Styela clava: one gene and its partner. The protein of the gene in region 1 purifies or fractionates together with the protein of each later gene. This does not show direct contact. Links are inferred from orthologs where the notes say so. Each region holds a gene or a part of one and is shown on either strand. Other genes may lie near its edges. The genes, in order: N-alpha-acetyltransferase 50-like; N-alpha-acetyltransferase 15, NatA auxiliary subunit-like.

Evidence for each region.
Region 2: the proteins of N-alpha-acetyltransferase 50-like (region 1) and N-alpha-acetyltransferase 15, NatA auxiliary subunit-like purify together in Drosophila melanogaster (affinity purification with mass spectrometry, with the first as the bait; 3 studies listed by BioGRID). This does not show direct contact. The link is inferred for Styela clava from reciprocal best matches to the Drosophila melanogaster genes san and Naa15-16.

The regions. Positions count from the first base shown.
Region 1 is NC_135251.1:20,782,623-20,793,939, forward strand, and holds N-alpha-acetyltransferase 50-like, read left to right. Parts: upstream 1-7,247; 5' UTR 7,248-7,377; coding exon 7,378-7,412; intron 7,413-7,805; coding exon 7,806-7,942; intron 7,943-8,351; coding exon 8,352-8,538; intron 8,539-8,786; coding exon 8,787-8,955; 3' UTR 8,956-10,197; downstream 10,198-11,317. Other genes in the region: receptor-interacting serine/threonine-protein kinase 1-like, read left to right, coding at 2,539-4,047; target of rapamycin complex 2 subunit MAPKAP1-like, read left to right, coding at 10,764-10,949. UniProt on the Drosophila melanogaster protein: N-alpha-acetyltransferase that acetylates the N-terminus of proteins that retain their initiating methionine. Has a broad substrate specificity: able to acetylate the initiator methionine of most peptides.
Region 2 is NC_135258.1:12,775,348-12,785,490, forward strand, and holds the start of N-alpha-acetyltransferase 15, NatA auxiliary subunit-like, read left to right. Parts: upstream 1-5,912; 5' UTR 5,913-6,062; coding exon 6,063-6,119; intron 6,120-6,745; coding exon 6,746-6,830; intron 6,831-7,564; coding exon 7,565-7,758; intron 7,759-8,815; coding exon 8,816-8,884; intron 8,885-9,473; coding exon 9,474-9,608; intron 9,609-10,143.

The DNA of each region.
Region 1 (11,317 bases):
TCGGGAAAACACGGTATTACTTATAGGTAATTATAAATATATTATATATATACAAGGTAGTATGACTTTATAGTGTAACCCGAGTTTGGCTAAAAAAATTCAGGTTTCCAAAAATACTCTGAAAACTATGAGTTCCAGGTTCGGGTAATCCCGGGGGTTTGGTTTTTGGTAAACTAGGGGTGACACCTCTCGTCGCCCCCCGACCTTCCCTGGATGCCTCATTAGATTTTTCTTCGCAATAGGGCGATTCCACAACCACGATTGAGTTTTCAGGCATTGAGTTTGAAGCGTCGCCTACTGACCTATATTGCGTCAAATTGAATTGTGTAATTTATACAAGGACAGGCCCAGCACCATATCATAGAGCATCTGAACGTGGTAAAGATGCATCTGCGGTACCGCAAGACGATAAGCAGGTACCTGGGTACAGAGGTATGTGACCAATGATGCCTGGATGTGGTGTAACATGATGCAGTGATGTGAATTCTGGAATTAGAAATGCAGAAGTTTAAATATTGCATGTGAGAATATTCATAATGATATTCTGGCAAACTACGTACAGATATATGAAAACCTTTAATTTCAAGTTAATGTGGGATATTTACCAGTGAAAACAAAACCTGGAATAAGAAATATTGCAGGAAATGATATGTGTGTGTGATGTGGAGAAGAACCAGAATTTGTTAGCCATCTATTTATGAGTTGTGAATATTTTGATTATGTTTTGGATTTTATTGAAAATACTGTTGGGAAATCAAATAATGCCAGACTTTTGAAAAATTAATAAACTTGTGTTTTGTTGGATTTGAGCTATTTGTTACATTACAAGACGAGATTTAGATATTATTGTTTTTTTAATTTCAATTACTAGATATAAAATATGGATACAGAGAAAGTCTGTTATATTCGAAGATAGTCCCCCTAATCAGCACCTACCATCTAACAAATAAAAACTGCAATCACTTACAACAGACTCAACATTGGAAAAAATAGAAAATCACCTAATTTTGTCAGAGAATTTGAAATACTAAGGAATTGTATTTGAAATATAAATCAAGTGTGTATAAATTTAGTATGTATAAAAATGAACATGTCCAATATATTTAATAATTTACTTTTATTGTACATAATATAACTCAATATACTAAAATTGATGAATTGTATGCCGATGCGATCAACACCTCGTCCTCAAACACTGATGGAATGGACATATGAAAAATGAATATTGGATTATTTATCTTATGATTGATCGAATGGTTATATACTTTTGGTTATATTTTATTAAATTATCCCATAAAATAAAAAATGCAGAAGTATCGGTACTAAAATATAACTGTGGGTATGATTGGCCGATATAGTACCACATTTCTCTTTCATAACTGATGAGCTTGTACCTAAACACAGTAATATCAATACGAAAATCAGTTCCTCAATTTGAACGTACATCAGGACATCGAAGTGCAGGAGTTCTTTTCACTTCTGTATTGAGATCAAATATATTTAAGACAATAATTGCACATTTTTTAAACCTGTGTCTATGTGTATGTATCTATTTTATGACTTTATGATGTAAGAAAGAAATATGTTTTTTAATTATAATACCTTAAGAGGCTAGGTTAAATCAATATTTAGAACGTTAATAAAAAGTGTATATTCTTTTACAGTTTTACTGGTTTTGGGGCAATACTGAATAATATTTTCTTATTTTTCGATAACTATTTTGTATCATTGGCTAAAAGTAAACTAAAGACACCTCATTTAAGTACTGATTTTGGTGAATAAAGCAATAGGATAGGAGAAAGAATTTTTGGATCTTATGTAGTTTCGTACCTAACATACTTCTAGTAGGCGTAGCATACCAATCTTTTTACGTGTCAATCCTGACCCTCACCTGACCACACCATCCAAAAATGAGGTCACTACGACATCACAATGACATAATAGAGCCCTTCAAACTATACGAACTGTCATCTAAGACGCGCAGACAAAAACCCGAAATCGAATAGCCATTTCTCTCGTTTCTCGTCGCAACGATCCCGATGTCAGCTCTTTATCGTCGGCGCCGATGCCATTTACTGGCGATCGGATGAGTATCTTGCAAGCTCTATGACGTGATTGCGACGCCATAGTGACGTAATTTTTAAATGGCGTAGTCAGGTGAGGGTTAGGATTGGCATGTCAAAAAATTGTTATGCTACGCCTACTCGAATTTTTATGGATAGGAAAGGAGAAATCTTATAAGATATGGCTTTATTATTCGATGAACATTGGGAAGATAATGGATGTGCTGGGCAATCAGGATCGCTTTCAATAATCGTCAAAGTCAAATAATAGTTATTGATTTACCTAAGCTTAAATATTGGAGTTAGGAAAAGGTACACAGTGGGTCACTTACTTCTTTTTTCATGCCATGAGTAGTTCACAAACTCTGAATGGATATTCTGTCATAATTCATATAACATTTTTATCCTTTCAATTCTTGTAATCTAGAGATATGTTATGGTTTTAATAATAAGCTATTAGCACTGGCAAAAAGCAATGGCGCATGGTTCATCAACCCAAGGTTTCCATGAGTTTAAATACGGGGATTTCACAGACAAAGTTGAAATTGGGGATGGAGATTATGGTGTCGTATATGCAGCTAGGCACCGTATGTTCAATAAAGTTGCTATTAGAATCATATCGCGCCAACATCATGTCTCAGAAGGAGAGCGAAATTCTTTAATAACTGAAGCCAAAAAGTTGTCTTCGATTGTATCTGGGAATGTCATTCGTTTACTGGGTACAGTTATAGAGCCGGGGCATTTATGTCTCGTGTTTGAATATGCTGAATATGGATCGCTCACTAAACTTTTGCAACGGTATGATATTCCTTGGCCCTTGAAAACTCGAATATCGCATGAAGTTGCAATGGGAATGTGTTTTCTTCACCAGAAGGACATCTTGCATCTATTGTTAAAGTGTACAAACATACTTGTCACTGGCAATGTTCAAGTCAAAATAACTGATATAGGTCTCAGTGGAAACATAGAAATGAATAACTGGACAAGATGTGGTAGAATTTATAGCCAAACCTTGCGATCAACACAAAGAAGATCTGGGGGCAGCTCGATAAGTCATGTACCCCCTGAGCTTATCAGAGATGTAAATGCTGCTGCTGACAAATCCGCCGACGTATATGCATATTCTATCGTCCTGTGGCAGATTCTAACCAATAAGATACCGTATGAAGGTAAAGATACAGGTGCAATTTGTGTTGGTGTTTTGGAGGGCGAAAGACCGGATATCTCAATTATAAGTCGTGAACATCCGGAAGTGTTATCTGATGCTATGAAAAAATGTTGGCAGGACGAGAAACAAAACAGACCCACATTTGAGGATCTTGTTCGTCGAATTGGGCCAGTGTCTGCTAATTGTGAGGATGCTTCAAGAAAGGCTGCCCTCGAGTGTCAAAAAAATGTTCAAGATTTTTATTTTCCTGACTCGGAAATAGCAGCGCCTACAGGAGATCAGCAGCCTGCAAGGCATCACCATAGGCGATTGGATGCTCCATCTCATATCGGGAGAGCTAATGCAAATGATGGCGTTGCTGTACCAATGCAGAGAAACGATGACACAGTTCCTTTCCAGAATTCAGCATCTTCACAGCCAAAGCCTGTTATGGTTTCATTGATTGTTCCTGTAACCGATCCTCAGATGGAACTCAGTCGCTCAGTGTCGGTACCACCTCCAGATAATAAAGCTCCGCCAATTGCACCAAATCCAACATTATCAGAGGAAAAATATTCGAAGTTTGTTGGTGTTGATGAACTGTATCTAGTCGCCGAAGAACTTGGCCGTCATTGGCGAAGATTCGGTCTTTACCTAGGATTTAGTGATGCCCAACTTGATAATATTGAGGCCAATTTTCACAAGCATGGATTCCCAGAGATTACTTATCAAATGCTAAGAAGATGGAAAGAAAGAAATGGAAATGTTACAGTGGGGTTTCTTTTTAACACACTTCGTGATGCTGACTTATTGCATGTTGCACAAAAATTGGCTTAATCAGTTTGTAAATAAATGTAACTGGGAAGGATGGATTAGCACTGATTATATTATGTATATGGTGACCCTTAAAAAAACAGAACCCATAAGTTTGTTGATAACTTCTACAGAATTTGAACAAAACGTCCTAGATTCCTGAAATGATTTGGTACAAACCTACACAAACAGAAGTTCAAGTATAAACAAAATCAAATAATTTACTCCATTTTCACAGAGTAATTAGGAAATTTATGGATTCTGTTTTTTCAAGTGACCTTGTACATTATGGCATTGCCTCAATAGCATATGCTTTTGTGGTATCAATTAGACTTTTTTGAATATTGAATAGGAAGCGAACGTTACATTTTTAAAAAATAAATAAATTTTTTATTGATTGATTTGATTAATAATTTTTTTCACGGTAGCAAGTTCACTTTCTCAATAATATTTCTTCAAGAAAAGTTCCAGAATTTTTTATCCAAATATTTTGTAACCCTTTGTCATTAAATTCTCTGTAATGACATATTTTCTTAAACATATAATGTCTTTGATTATTGTATCCACTCGTAATCATGTATACCTTTCTGATTTTATTGTATATTTGATATAATTTTTTTGTTTGTTTTAAATACATTGTTCACTAGTTTTTATGCAATGTTCACTTAGTAATCTCCTTGATGAAATTTAGTAATTTGAAAGTTATAATTTTTTTTCTAATTATCGAAAATCACTGGCGCTAGTTAATTCTCCCTCTTTATTCAACTGCTATAATAGTAGATATATTCGTAAGCTTTCAAAGCGATCGAAGTCTAACTACATCGGACAAAACAAGATGTAACTGTGAAGACAGATCATAAAAATTCTTAGGACCGAATTTCCATCCTAAACTAGAAAATATGTCTATATTGGTTTATCATTTTTTACGTTAAATGTCCTGCTTTAGGGTATAGTTCTAAAAATTTTTTCCAATTCATATGACAAGTAGATAGCAGATATCATAAGAATTATTATGTCCCGTCCTTTTTTCATCTGTTATGGAATGAGTATTTTTGCTCTGCCTGTCTTTTTTGGCTCTGTCAGTGGCTTTGACAAGATGTGTTTTTCAGCAATTCCTAACAAATATATCTATATCTACATAATCCATGCTACTCTTCTGGTATGTGTTCTTCAGGTACCAGGATGTGTTGATGGGTGTCTGTTTACTTAGAGTAAACTTCCTGTTCCTAACCTATTATCCACCAGATGATGCATTGTGTTTAAGAATGGCAGGGAGTGTTTGAAATTAAACTTAATGAGTGAATGGTAGCAGTATTGTATATATTTTTTTAAGTCTTATAATTTTGATGTCCTAGTTATGTTATGAATCTTTTGTAAAAGCGTAAGTCAAAAATCTCCAAATATCCCAGTTTCAATTATGGCCATGGAACAGCTCAAATATTTGGTCACCAATTTGGTTGGATGTCTCTTGAATTTGTGGGAAATTTTGTTATTAAATTCAAAGTTGCAAGATAAAACCTTTATTGTTAGGTTTATTATGTCTTCAAAATTTTGGATTTTGTTGATTTCGGTACTATCATTTATATATTGCAGTATGTCTACTGTGGTGATGTGTCGCAATATGTGATGATGGATCTGGAGATGTGATTTTGTCTATGTGTCAATTTCAATATAATACAACTGCAATAACAATATACAAATAAAAAACAGGAACTATAAAAACGGACTAACTTTATAGACATTCTGATAAACCAGCATGAATAGCCGAGACAACAATAGCCAGATGTTTCTTATCACATAGTTTTCTAGTTTTCAATCCTGAAAATCTTTGTTTTTACAATGATGCTTGTGTGCCTAAAGTACTTTATAAAGAATATGACTTAATGAAAGCTTACAAATATGCTTGCTATTTTGTGGAGGAATATCATGGTATTCTTCATTCTCCAGGAATGCTATTGGGTAAACGTGTAGGCTATATGATTTTCTAAAATTTATGTGGGTGCTACACTGCAACTAGTGTTTTGTTCGCTAACTGTCATATTTTATTGATGAAATTTTCATTCAATATTCTGAAACTCATTATTCAACAAATTGCTGCTCAGAAGTAATTCACTTTATTTTGAACCGGTAATTTCTCAGCCTGTGTTTTAGCTGTGATGTAGGCACATTTATAAATGAATATATATTTCGAATTCCCAAGTATATTCTTTTACAAAGTTTGAACCTGAATTCAATAACTGAAGTTTTGTGCGACTTTGTGTGTTTTCAAATCTATATTTGTTTCAATTTTTTTTGTCTTCATTTTTCTTGTATATTTGTCACTATCCATATAGTTATTACCTTGACAGATAAGATGAAATGAAGTTACTAGGCCTACTACTAATTTGGTTCTACAACACTGGTATAAAAACAGTAGCAAAAATCTTGCTTGTGAATTTGTTGATTTAAATTCAATGAATAATAAAGCAAAGTATTAGATTATATATATATTATATATATAACAGCACTGCTTAACAAAGGTATTGTTATAATCTGTTTTATTCATTTGGATTTTGTGTCACTTATGTATGAACATTTGTTTTTTTTTATCAATAAATGCAAAATTGTTGAAAGCCACTGGTCATACCAACTATTCAATCAGTGTATTTTATTAGTTTTTCTCTATCATGTGTTTGTAAATGCATATATTTCTGTATACTTATCTACAATCTGATAATATACAAACTTGCAAAAAAGGTGAAATGAAAATCGTTCATGTTTTATTCATTTACAATTTTCTTACCTTATGCTGATTTTTGTTTCTCTGTTTCAATTGGATTTTTAATGAAATATTTGTCCAAGGCAAAGTTACAAAATCTCAAATAAGACTTTGATCTAGTAGTCTCTACATTTCCTTACATTTTAACTTACTTCCCTATTGTTCTTGGAGAGTCCACAATTTTTTTTTCTCACTATTGGAAACAAAATTCAACAATTGATGACCATTATTCATGTGCATGCTATCATTATTTTTGTCATTGTTGAAGTATGCTTGTCTGGAAAAGTATGACTTTGGTCAGAAGAAACGCTATAGAAATGCATTCGTCGTAGTGCCGCAGGACTCATGGGGTCACCATGAATATTGTCCATAGCTTGTGTTGGTGAATTGGTTCTTCCATTACTCAGAAAAATGTTGAGACCCTGATTATATGTTCTTACTGAGTTTTGTGTATTCAAATTTTTTTTTTTTCGATTCCCTTATTTTAGAATTCATACTATTTATTGTCTAATTGTGAAACAATTGTCAACAATCTTGTTCATCGACGTCAACTGCAGTGAAGGTCTGTGGAAAATTAACTAGCGTTTGAAATTTCAATGAAGAATTTGTTAGTTCCTACTGCAATGGATGGGTAAGCTATTATTTTCAATTTGTTAATCGAAAATCTTGCACTACTGACCCATGTCCAGATTTCACCAAAGGTTTCTTTCTGTTCTGTTACATCACTCTTATGCATACAAACTGATTATTTATGTTCCCTCCCTGTAATGTCAACATCCATACATCTGCAAGCCTGACATGGATTGTCGAATAATCAAAGAATTACCTTGTGTAATATTATGGTCATCTTTTACTGAGATAGTATGAATATATATCAATTTGTCATCCTTAGCATCTTTGGTGGCACCTTGCTGTTTGGTGCAAAGCTTTCTGGTACATTTCACTGTTAGATGCATGGAATTATATGTATCTTTGAGTATTTGTTCGATTTATTTAAAATTATTATTAATTTTTTTTATTTTAGAGTTCGTATTGAACTGGGAGATATCACACAACACAATATAAAACAATTGAAACTCTTGAATCAAGTTATTTTTCCAGTTTCATACAATGACAAATTTTATAAAGATGTTCTTGATGTTGGAGACTTGGCAAAGCTCGGTAAGATGATGTTTTTTCATTCAAATCACTAATGTCCAAAACTGATAATTTATACCACACAAATTATAAGCGAATTGGCATATTTTGATAGTTAAATTTTCCTTATTTTCATAAGAGACTGAAGTTATATGGCGCGGCGATGTGGCTCATCATGCTAAGTGGTAGGAATACGCTCGCCACTGCACCTCTGCGGCTTCCACCACCATCAAGTCCATGCTTCCGAAAACAAATAAGTAACTAATCCCATACCCGACATGGAATGGTAACCAGACGAGAGGTCGTGGTTCGCCATATATTAAGCCGTCTTATCGGCTTTCCTCTCACCCTGGATAAATATGTAAATCCCATCCTATCCTTATATTACACTTGAAAATCTGTGTATTTGGCATTTGAAAATACTGTTTTTCAGCATTTTTCAATGATATAGTGGTTGGTGCAGTATGTTGTCGAATAGATAATTCAAAAGGAAAAAGGAGATTATACATAATGACGCTTGGTTGCTTAGCACCTTACAGAAGACATGGTGTTGGTACAGTATTGCTCAACCATGTCTTCAAAATATGTGAAGCTGATAAAAATATTACAGCAATATTTTTGTGAGTATTTTATTTCCTGTTGTTTAGAAACAAATGTGTATTCTCAAAGGTTTGGGCTGTTTATTTTTTTTTCAAGAATACCTCGTTAATTTTGGAGAATTCTAGTTTAATATTATCAACTATTCAACCTATTCCACACTTTCAATAATGCTCCTCATGCCAAGACTATTCTAACCTTGAATATGAATTCATGACATTTTTTGTTTCAAGCGCTTCTACTAACTCCTGTTTATGATTATTATTTTCAGACACGTTCAAGTCAATAATCAATCTGCTCTGGATTTCTACATGAAATTCGGTTTCGAAATTGTTCAAACTGAAAGCCATTATTACAAAAGAATAGAGCCTTCCGATGCCTATGTATTAGAAAAAAAGCTTGAGAACTGTGCTGGAGCTACATTCAATGGGAAGCCTTGATTCCATTCAGATTGCTCAGCACTTTTCATTTGATTTATGTTCCAACTCCAGTGGTTTGGTTGAAGCTCTTCCATGCATGTTACAACAGTCTTAAATATAAAAATATTTAGTTTTATAAAAACAATGCCTTCAGTTTTGGTGTGTCGTATCTATTTAGAAAATTTTTGTCAGTACGTATGCAGCTCTGTGCATGCCAGGGAGTGTTCTCATCATTGAGTTACATTTCATTCTTGGCTATTGCTATGTAAACTGTGTTGACAAACTGAAAATACATTAGCAATTGGCTTTTAAACAAAATTCCTAAATTAGGACATGCTAAAATCTCTTGTTATATGAAAAATTTTATCTTCAATGGTGCAGTGTACAAGTTTTACAAAGTGTGAGAAAGAAAAATGCCTTGAATAATAAAATGTTTGTTCTATTCTGTATGTGTGAAAATCCCATTCTAGAAAAGTCATTTTTATTTGAACAACCCCTGCTGTTCATCTTTTCCAGTCAGCATTCCAAAGACATTTATGGGTCAATTGGGGTTGGGTATCAATTGTAATGGCATGGGACAAAATATTTCATTCATATTCACTCCTATAAACGTCTGTGTTTGAGTACAAGCCTAATTATGATTGGTCAAATGCAAGCAAAAAAGATTTTTACATAGAACTTGAGTGTTTATAATATTTTAAAATCACATTGAAGGATTCTTGTTGGCCAAGGCCTAGATGCTAATGATCTTCAGTTATATTCACTTGTTGGACACGTAGTGGACATAACAATCGTTTCAAAATTTTGTTGTTATTGTTATTATTTGTCTCCGTTAACACGTTTTGAAGAAATCGCTTTTCTCTTCGAATATTGGACCAATTGCTTTGAAATTTTCAGTGGTTGAAGATGAAAAATTACTCCAGAAGGCTATTACTTTTTTTTTCGCTATGACGTCATCCAAATTATGTGTCCATATATTTGAGCATAGCTCTCTTGTTTTATAAGTGTCGTCACAGTGTCACTAATTCATAGGTCTATATGAATATATACATTTTCGTGAGAACTCATGTGGGAATTGATAGTGTGCCTTGAAAGGTTTCATATTGAGTTTAATGCTTGACCCTGCTTGCAAGACGTATAGGTAATTGTGCACTGTACTCGCTTGTATTGAGCCCAGTGTTTGTTTGAACTTGGAACGGACTAAATATTTTATTTTTCTTGTATTTTAAAGTGAATCGCTTCAAATAAACGTCCTTGGAATTACAGCTTGGTTTATTTAGCGTTGACAGTGAGATACAAAAAATTGGATGTGTTTTTCGCATATTAGTAGTATATATTTACGATTAAAACAGCTTGAACGGTAGAGCGAAAAGGCCGCTAAATGGTGGGAAAGGAAAACGGCGGTAAATCCTAAAGAGTAACAATTCCACCAGATTTTAACTGCCGGTCGTTTATTGATATTGGTGAATGTAAGCAATTGTCAACTTCAATAATTAAAGCGAATAGGGGCTTTCATATTTGGCTAAAAGAAAGGGAAGGATGGAAACAGTTTAATGGTTTCATCACAGGCGGGTAGTCGCGCACGGTTTGAAATGTTATGACTCCTAATACAGTATATGGAGACTCGATGCACCTCTGGGAAAACCGCGGTGTTGTCAGTCTGGCTTCGAAGACTAAAAGACACTGAAATAAGAAAATTACGCGAGTGCGAACCGGCGAGAGAGTTCATGAGTTTGGGTTTGCTTGTGCTCTTTTTGATTTTCTATTCATTAGCGACGCGGGAAAATTCTTGATGAGATAACAAATGCTGGTATTTATTTTACCAAAGCATGGCGATGTTAGACAATCCAGACTGGCTCTTGGATCACATTCGCCATTCCTTCATTACAAGCGATGACACAGGAATGTGCGAAATGGTTCTTCAGGACAACGATATGATGACACTGTCACAACACAGGTTGAGAATTAAAGAGTTAAAAGAAGCTAAGCGCATTGAAAGGGCGAAAAAGAATCAAGTAAGTTTAAATTTTCTAGTAAATTCAAACAATAAAAATTTCTGAAATTGATGTCTCTTCGTTCAGACGTTCTGGTATTATTGCAAATTTAGCTTTTGATTTCTTATGAACAGTCATTGTTGAGGTAGGGGAACAGCTGTTTTATTTGATAGGTATCCTATTTCTGTATTTATCTTGAGTACGGTATCTTAACTTCTGAACTTGTATTTATGATAAAATAAATGCAATAATGGCTTAGTTCATCTGGATCTATATGATAAATATTGTGTCATTTCGCTTATTTCTGTTTTTTTAGTAAGTTTCAAAATAATATCTTAACATAGTATATTTTGTATAGTGGGTCAAACGCTAAAGACATAGAAACTCGT
Region 2 (10,143 bases), on another chromosome or scaffold:
ACTTGATTTAAATGCTAAACCTTTTTTTAATGGGGTTAATGCAAGTCTTAAATAAATCAAAATTTCAAAGATAAATTATATATACTCTTACTAAAGCTGTAAATTTGACACTTGACAAACATATTAATAAACTAGTGGTCGAATCTTTTCCCTTCTGACATTTTCGGAAGACTTAAAAGGCCGCTAATAACGTGCGCGATTGCATTTTGTTACAATCACCGATAGTTTTCGTCAGCATGGCATGTTTTTAAACATCTTTACGCCGGTGTTTATTCTCTCTAAATCAAAACTTTTCTTCGGCATATCCATGTATTGTTCCACAATGACGACGATAATTGCTTTTTTGTTCTCGTGGGGAATTATGAATTCAATGTGAAAAACATGTTACCATATAGTCATCGGCGACGAAATGTTAAAAATAATAATTAATAATAAAGAGGTAAATCCGCAACCTAAATTTCTTTATTGAAAAACGGCATTCTAAAATATTTATTCATCGTATATAGTAACTGCGAAATCGAAACACAGTCAATTGTGTGCGCGATTTACCTTTTTTTATTCTGAAACTACCGACGGAGCCGCATGCATTAAAATAAAGTCCAATCGTATTTTGCCCAGATCTTGTGATTTTTTAGACGACGATATCTTGCTTAATAATAATCTCGAGTGCAAAAGAACAAATCAAGTTTGACAAATTCCAAGATCGCAAAAATACGACTCCAATTTATTTATAGTTGGCAGTTTATCACGTATTTTATGAATTTTTAGAATAGTATTCTTTCATTTTAGTAATCCTAATAGTAATCTCGAATGAAACTCGAGTAACTATGAGTACAATTGAATTATTACGACAAGACACTATAAATGCTCGCATCGGCCATACATTGAATATTTTACGCAACAGAAATCTCGTTATCCGTTTTTTATAATCGCAAAGAATGTTGCGCGGAAATTTCCGATTCAAATCTCCACCTCTTGAGAATCCTGGCTGCGCTGCAGCTTATAAATAATGTCATTTTTTAATTCCGCCTCTTTGCCATATTTCGAGGCTATATTGTTGTCACATTTTATCAAAGTTGTTATTGCTTCTTTGAACAGTTACAAAACTAGTCATTATTTTGAAAAGTAATCGAATAGCTCGCGGAGCCCCTGGGTTTCTCTCGCGGAGCCCTGGGGCTCCGTACGGAGCACTTTGAGAACCTATGGTCTAGGGGACATGTGTAAAATTATATAGGTTACTATATATAAAAATCAAGAACAAAAAAATAACAAAACGATCCATAGGTTCATTTCGTTTCCAACAACAAAAATACCAAAACGATCCATAGGGGACTTCGTTTCCAACGACAAAATAATTCATAGGTCCATTTCGTTTTCAACAACAAAACAATATATTTGTTCATTTCGTGTACAATATCGACATATAATAACGTGTTACCTCACCTGTACACCTATCATAGCTCTTGTCTGCTACTTCTCCATTTTGGCAAATTTGCACGTGGGGTGTTGGTATTCATTGTGATGTCAGAAAAAAATATATGAAGCGTGAAACCTTGCGCAAAGGAAAAGTACGGATAACAGCTGAGGCGAAAACCGTCGAAATCTCATGCTATCTTCCTGGTGCGCACGCCTTTCCTTTGTAAGATTTACTGGCGTCAGAATGAAATATTCTCGTCAGTTTATGCGCTAAAATGACTCGACTAATATGGTGCTCCTACAATTCAGCAATTTCTGAATTTGCATATGTCACTACCGTACCGGTATTTTTCAGCATATAAAATTGATTGATTGATTGATAAGTTAAACCTAACTACATGAGACCCGACTGCTATATGCCTATTTCAGTATTTTGAGTTTCTTACAAGTTTAGGCGCGTTAACCTGCTGTCTGATTGTGTAAATTCCATGGGTTTGCTTTTAAGGCGGAAATACGCTTGTCGTCGGGGAACCCATAATCCAGTAATCACAGTATTTTGTCTGTTTGTGTGAGATCATGGCAGCATGGGTTGAAATCTAGTGCTTTAATTAGTGAGAATGGGCTGGTGGCAAAGAGAAGGGCGATAGGCCCACTTGTACAGTTGTAACTTGCAGATTTATGGTACCTTATTTCAGTATTAACTCAACAGAAGTCATATCACAGTATCAGGAATTAGGCTATAGATAAGATAATTCAGAAATTAGTGCACTTTCAGACTTTGCTGATTTTAGCTTAATTTTTTTCGGGTGGTCATGAACTTCTGAACTTGGTTTAATAGCAAATTCCATAAAAAATATCTGGTTTGCTGTACTTCTAAAAATACCAGTTAAAAATAACTCCCACTGTCTGACTGTGTCACTTGTACTTACCTGTCTACCACATTTAGTAATTGATTTTATATGCAGTTATTCAAGTTGGGCCATGAAACATAGTTTTTATTTATGAACACGGTACCTCACCTGCTTTTAATATTCTTATTGCATTACCAGTATGCCTTGTGTTTTTAGATAAGAGTTAGTGAAATATTTTTAATTATTCGCTATTCCAATATCAATCGTTAATCTTGTTAGTCATTTCAATATTGAACATTAATTTCAATTAATTCAATGTATTAACAATATATGTTAAACTCCTTATTCAAATTTGTATTTTGAATAAAAAAACTATCCTTAAATATAACTGAGTTGCAAAAAAATAATTTGCAAATTGTTTATCAGTGGCTAAATAATTTTATACAATTTGTTTATGGCGAAAATATTGGGCGATATCCGCTAGACTTTATATTTAGATTCATTGTTATGATATGTCAATTTAATCATCAGATGTTTTTGCGGTATGAATACATTATGGTTAGATTTTAAATTGATAACAAACTAGAATTTTTGTCGTTAATTTTGTTGTTGTTAATTTGGTATCAATTTGAATATTTCAGTAGACTAGTTTTAGACATCAAGTTGTTTAATGCTATTATTGAGAATGCTATTTTTTTGTCTGATATTTTCTTATGAGTTCTAAGTTAAGACATAAATTTTATAGACTCTTACATTTCATTTCATTTGAAATGAGACACATTTGTTTATGTGTATTTTTGATTTATACTATACATAGACAGACATACATATTTTTAATTATTAACATTTGGCCATGTGATGTGGCTTGACTCTCATCCCTCATCCAATACCCAGGAGATTGCACTTGGGCTATAAATACATATATTTAAACACATCAACTTTCAATTTTTCTTGCAATCTCTCATGGTAATATGTCGCTCAGTTTGGAATTTTCAATTTTCCAATGCCTCACATTCTAATGGTCTTTTCATTCTTGTTTTTATTGTTCATGTATCAGTTCAATGCAAATTATGAATTCAAAATAAACCCACTTACAAATTACTTATAATAATTTAATAAGTAGTTTATTGATGGATATGGTTCAATGCAATGATTTTTCACAGCATAGATAATGTTTTTTCAGATTAGGCTTGAGGTTAACCAACAGCCTAAGATTTACGGGTGTTCATCATTCAACTGCAGGATTTTTTACAGCTCAATTTTCTTTGTTTATTCTGTACCCTCATGCCTAATCTGAAAAAACATTATCTATACTGGGAAAAAAATTATGTTAATCAAGTCTGATGTTCAACTGAAATTTTTATTTCTTCAAAATCTCCACTCTAATTTCTCCAGCATACTCTAATTTCTGCGAACTCAACAGTTCTGTCAATAATTTTTTATTTTATCTTTCACTTCAGCACTTGTTTGGTAGAGTTCTACATCTATTTTGCATCATATATGCTACAGTATTTCATAATTACTAGCAATTAGGGTTGCCACTTCTGGATACATTTTTTTTCGAATCGAATCTCGAATCAAAACTTTTCGAATCGAATCTTTCCGAATCTGATTCCATTAAGCTTTTTTTTTTTATTACATGCGTATGTTTGGCCAAACTCACAAAAAAGCTCAAATCTAGAAGAAAAAAATTTGAAAATGGAATAGGCTATATAGCAAGGGTGATGAGGGTTTTTCAGTGAATAAGCCACACTTATTTTCATCATGATAAAAAAGATGTAGGTCATAGATATCACTAATAAATGCATTGATGAAAAACTTGCTGTTGCAACTTATCTGTGAGTCTTACAATACTGAGTTATTGTGTTATACTTGTATCAGGGCTGAGGCAATTTGATGGAATTCATATGAGAAAATAAGCAGGGAACAGTTGTACTGTTATGTCGTAAACACAGTAACAGCACTGCTTTCCCTTGTCCCACACCAGTATATGTGACCGTGGTATTTCCCTTCTTGTTATATTGAATTAGGGACGGCCTTATTACCGATTCTTTATCTTCAAAATCTTAGTACAATATTTTATATTTATGCTAGCAGCATAGAGTAATACGACAAAAACATTCTAATTGCATCTGAATTACTATAAATGGGAAATGCTTACAAGAATATGATTGAAGACGATAAAATTACCACGATTAAATTAAATTAATTTCGATAAAAACAATCGTTCATCCGACTACGATTGCGAACAAAAATTACCATAAATATTAGAGACAGTATTATTTGTGGCAAACAGCGTTATTGGCTAACTCGGGCTTCATTATTAATGTGGACTACGTTTAATTTCGTAATTCAGAAAGTCCAAATGTGCATAATGGACGCCGCGCTGACTAGCGATAATTGGTTGACGCTTTATCTCGATCAAACATGGTCGCTGGGGCTAAAGTAAGACGACATTCGCACCGTATGCTCGGTCTGGTATGAAATCTGCCACGTGTTGATGTAAAACAGTGCACAAGTTGCCATTCCTCAAGTATTATTTACTCCCACCTGTCCGTTATGACATTTGCTCGAAATAATCCGAAATGTTTTATCCGCTTGTATCGCGCTAACAAAATTAAAAGTAAATACTACTTTTTTTGGTAACAGCTGAAAAAAGACGTGTATGTACTATTACATTATGTCCCCCTGATTTCGTTTACCGCCACTCGAGTGGAAGCCTGACAAACGCAAACAAAATAAAAATATATTTTAGGATGAGATACATGATTGTAAATTAACATTGCCGGCCGATGAACTCATTCAGCAATAGTTCTCTTCAAATGTACGCGAAATATTGCTCTCAGAACAAAGTTTAAATTAAATTTCAATCAAAATTAAACATTATCTAGACGTCGGTAGCCGATTCTTTATCCAATCATGCCAGGGCGTACAATAACTTAGTGGCAGCGCAGGTGTGCTGTTGAAAATTTTCATCAAAATTGTCACGAATTTTCAGGTATACGATCCATTTGAATTCGCGCATAATGGAAACTTCGGCTATTTAGTGGAAAACTGAACTCGCAGTTTGCTGGTAATTACGCCACACATCATCTCGAGTGATGCGTAAAAGAGTGTGTTGTGTCGAACTTCAAACAAATGACGGCAGACAAGTAAAAAAGTCAATCACGAAAAATTCATTTTCATTTATTTACGTCCCGTAATTTATTGCTATTTGGAGTGCCGCATAAACGCATTCGGCAGTTTAAACGCCACCGAAAACAACGATTAACAAATATTCAATGTTTTTCTTTCGGTCCCGTAATTTGGTGTTATTTGGAGTGCTGCATAAACGCATTCGGTAGTTTTAACACCGCCGAAAACAACGATTAACACACGTTCAATGTATTTTTTTCGGTCCCGTAATTTGGCGTTATTTGGAGTGCCGCATAAACACACTCTGGCAGATTTAAAGCCGCCGAAAACGACGATTTAACAAACGTTCAATGTTTTTTTTTCGCTAAATCGCTCTCTTTTTCCGAATCGCGTAAATCTGATTCGAATCGATTCGGAAAAGATGCGATTCGAATCGATCCGATTCGTAAATCCGAAAGTGGCATCCCTACTAGCAATCAAATTAATTTTGCTGTTAACTAATATATAATTTATTAAAAATTTCATAGGAGATGGTTGTCAAGTTGTTGTTAAACTTACCGATTAGGCCTTAAAGTTCGGAATTTAACTCTGCGTCATATCTGATCAATAGAAGAGCAATTGAATTGATAAGCCAGTAGGTTTTTCATCAATAATTTCAAAATGCCTACCAAACAGCCATTGCCACCCAAGGAAAAGACGCTATTTAACAGGATATTGGTGAGTAGTCCGATATCTCCTCTGAGAATTATTTTACAATAAATCTTCAATTTCAAAGTATGTAATTCATATTACGGTATATATAATTCTAAATGTCTTATTGGTGATTCAATTCAAGAGTCTTGCTGCACACGAACACAAATGTATTTCTGTAACGTTTCGTCTGACCAAGGTCAGACTTCTTCAGACAAGCATTTTATAGTTGTAAACCATATAGTCCATTTACACTCTTGCTACAGCATCCTTGCGTAATACGCATACGGATCCACCTGCGCAAAGGCATAGAGAGCAAGGAAATGTAGTTAGTTTCACGCAACCTCAACTGTTAGTCACTTATTGGTGAAATAGTAGTTTTTTTTATGTTTATGCTTTTGCCATTCGCCTGTTTATTATTACTAATTAGCTAAATATGAAAAATTTATTCATTGCTAAGTTGAAATATAACAGCATTTCTTGCCTTGAGCACAAAGCTTCGAATTTGGGGTTTTCCAGTTTTTACTATCATTACTGAAAACACTATTTTTGTTATCTGACTGAATATTGTTTTGCATTGTTTATTCTTTTCCTTATGGAAACAAATTTTATATTTATTTTATATGAATAACATCATGTTCCTATATTTTTAGAAATGTTACGAACAGAAACAGTACAGAAATGGACTGAAATTTGCAAAACAGATTCTTTCTAATCCAAAATTTGCAGAACATGGAGGTTTGTTTGAATTTTATCATTTCTATTTTGAATTTATCCATTTAGGTCCCAAACAGTCAACGAGAGAAAGAATACTAGAATTCGGCATAATTCATGCAATTTGTAGACCTTGACTGGCTGATTACTAGTATAACGGGAATATTGGTCAGAGACCGAAGACTTACGGTATCGATTGAAAGTTAGGGGATCCCCCAAAACAGCGCTCTTACTTCGTAGTGACACCTTGTGTCCCATTACTAATTAATTAATAACTCGCTGATTATACACATAATTCATCCAAAATCAATAGGCTTCTGGTCCGAAATATGATGAATGCACATGCAAAATCTGGAGCAGATTCAATCTCGCTTTCGTGAGATATCGGCGATCGCATGCATCTAACAGACAGACATACAGACAAATAGCTATCAACATACTTACCGATTAAAATCGATAAGTAACTAGAACACCAAGTGAGCTAATCTGTAACGCAGTATGACAGGAGCTTTTTTTGTCAATATCATTGTTAACATATAATTTAGTATAGGTTCAATAATAGTAATAACATTATACAAGAATTATCCCATCTTTTAAATCATAACAGAAAACATTGTTCAAAAATGTGATCGTTACAATCCTCACCTTAATTTGACTACTATGAACATTTGGCTTATCTTGTAGATCTTGTAGATGTCAAACTTTTCGTGTTTGAGAAATTGTACTTCATGGTCTTGAATTATCATAATTAATTACAGAAACATTGGCGATGAAAGGGCTCACGCTCAACTGTCTAAATAGAAAGGAAGAAGCATATGAACTTGTGAAACGCGGATTAAAAAATGATTTAACATCTCATGTCTGTTGGCACGTCTACGGTCTGCTGCAAAGATCTGATAAAAAATATGATGAAGCAATAAAATGTTACAGAAACGCTCTCAGATGGGAAAAGGTATATATATATATATATATATATATGTGTGTATATGTTTTTATTATTTATTAAAGTTGATTTAGTCAAGAGTTTCTTTTGTCAGCGAATGTGAGTCTTTTCTCATTATTTTCAAAACTACAAATATTTCAAAAAGGAAGTCTATAATTATGAATTTTGTTGCAATAGGGCAGGGGTGGGCAAACCGCGGCTCGCCAGACTTTTTGTGCGGCTCTTCTCGCTAACATAAAATATTATCCAAATTTCAACTAAGAGAAAAACTTCAATGTAAACTCTTTTAATTTATTAAAAGTCGTAAAGAAGTTTTCGTCAATGATTAGGACAAATTATGTTTTAGTATGAAAATTGCTGTAGAGTTGAATTTTGAATTTAAGTCAGTCAAGTCAGCAAATCTTTCGTCACAATGGTCAATGTTTATTGATGCGTCGGCGGTATTGAAGCTTGATTGCGGTTAGTTAGTCTAACTAAGTTACTGTGCAATATGTCCTCAATTAAAAATGAAAGTACGAAGATGAAAACAGAGTTGTCAAGTCAGAATGGGAAGAACGTACGAATTTACCAGTCAGAAGAATAAACTTTTGTGCTTAATCTGTCATAAGCTACTAAGTCAGAATAAAGTCAGCAATGATAAACGGCACCATGAAACGAATCATGAAAACTTCTTACGAGACTACCCTCCTAAATCAGCTATAAGGAAACACAAATTAAATGAACTTAAATTGTGCATATATTTGAGTATAGCTGCCTTGTTTATCTATTTATTGTTATTAGACTCTTGTGTGAATTTCTTTTCTGTTCATGGTATTTTGATAATATTAATAAATTCACAAATTCTGCGGCTCTTTTAAAGTTCTGACTTACAGCATGCGGCTCTTAAACTGAAAAATTGTGCCCACCCCTGCAATAGGGTAATTGTGCAAAATACACAGATATATCACTTCATGATTACCATCAGAGAATAATTTTTAATCATGATACATAATTTATTTTCATGGGGTAATATGCTGATCCTGATCAATTACATATATATGATATATAATATTTTATTGTTTTTTAGGACAATCTTCACATTCTGAGGGATTTATCTATGTTGCAAGTTCATATGAGAGATTTGGAAGGATATAAGGTTTGTATATAACAGTTTTTTAAATTTTCTGGGACGCAATTGGTAGGGAAATCGATTACTGGTGAGTTTTAAACTGGAAATTAGGTACTTCCGAAGTATGTGAACCAAGATGGCGGACACCAGAACGTAGCATGTGTTCCAGGTTAGGGTTAGGCCATATTTTTTTTTCAATTTTCCCCCATTTTGGTTCTATTACGAGTTCAGGGACTAGTCAAGTGACTTGCGCAGTATTTGTACCTGAAATTATGGCCTAACCCTAACCTGGAGTACCAGAAATTCTGAATTACCTAGTCTGAGTCTAGTTTGAAATGGAATATTTTGTATATTCAGCAATCTAAATTTAATTTTCAGAAATTCAGTTAAGTTAACTTATTTTGTTATCTAAGACGGTGCCAAACTGAAAAGGAAAAATTCCTGCTACTAACTATTCCTGCTACTAACAGAAGCTTCTAACATAACGTCTTGTACAAATCCTTGCTATTATCTTTATCTAAATTATGATCGATACAATGGATTTCTTGCTGATGATTTGAATGTTTAAAAGCATATATGAGTCAAGTATTGTTAACTTGTTGTTTCACTTTACCAGGAAACAAGGTACAATCTACTGCAGTTGAAGTCTGGTCAAAGAGCATCTTGGATTGGTTATGCAGTTGCAAATCATCTTGTGAAAGATTTTGACATGGCTTTCAAAGTCTTAGAGGAGTTCAGAAAGACACAACAGGTGATATGATGGTTTTTTACTCAGTTCGGAATAGATATTGTAAATTAAAATATTATTTTGTTTTGTATGTAACGTTTTGCCAGAAATAATTTTGAGAAGTTTTTTGAGTGAAATAAGTTTTTTTATGTGTTTCGAGTCTTGTTAGGAGGAAAACTACTCTAATGATTGCCAGTGACTTTCTATTATTAAGAGCTTTTACTGAGCCTTGTGATTAGTGTATTGGCATTGATCGTTCGTCTGCTTTTGTTGATACATAATGCACCACTGTGTATCTTTTATTAGCTTTTAGCATTTCAGTCGTGTTCACAGTGTTGTGCTTCTGAGTAGGGCTGGGAATTTTTGAACATCTGTTGATTTCAGAACTGAATCGAATATTTTTTTCGAATCGAATCTCGAATACTTGGTAGATATGTAATTGTATTGTTTTATTGTAATAGGTCTTCCAGACAAATATAAGTGAAAACGCGTAATCTATTACCCAGACAGTTCGCTGAGTTCTCACACATAATTAGGAACATGTTTCATTCACTCACTC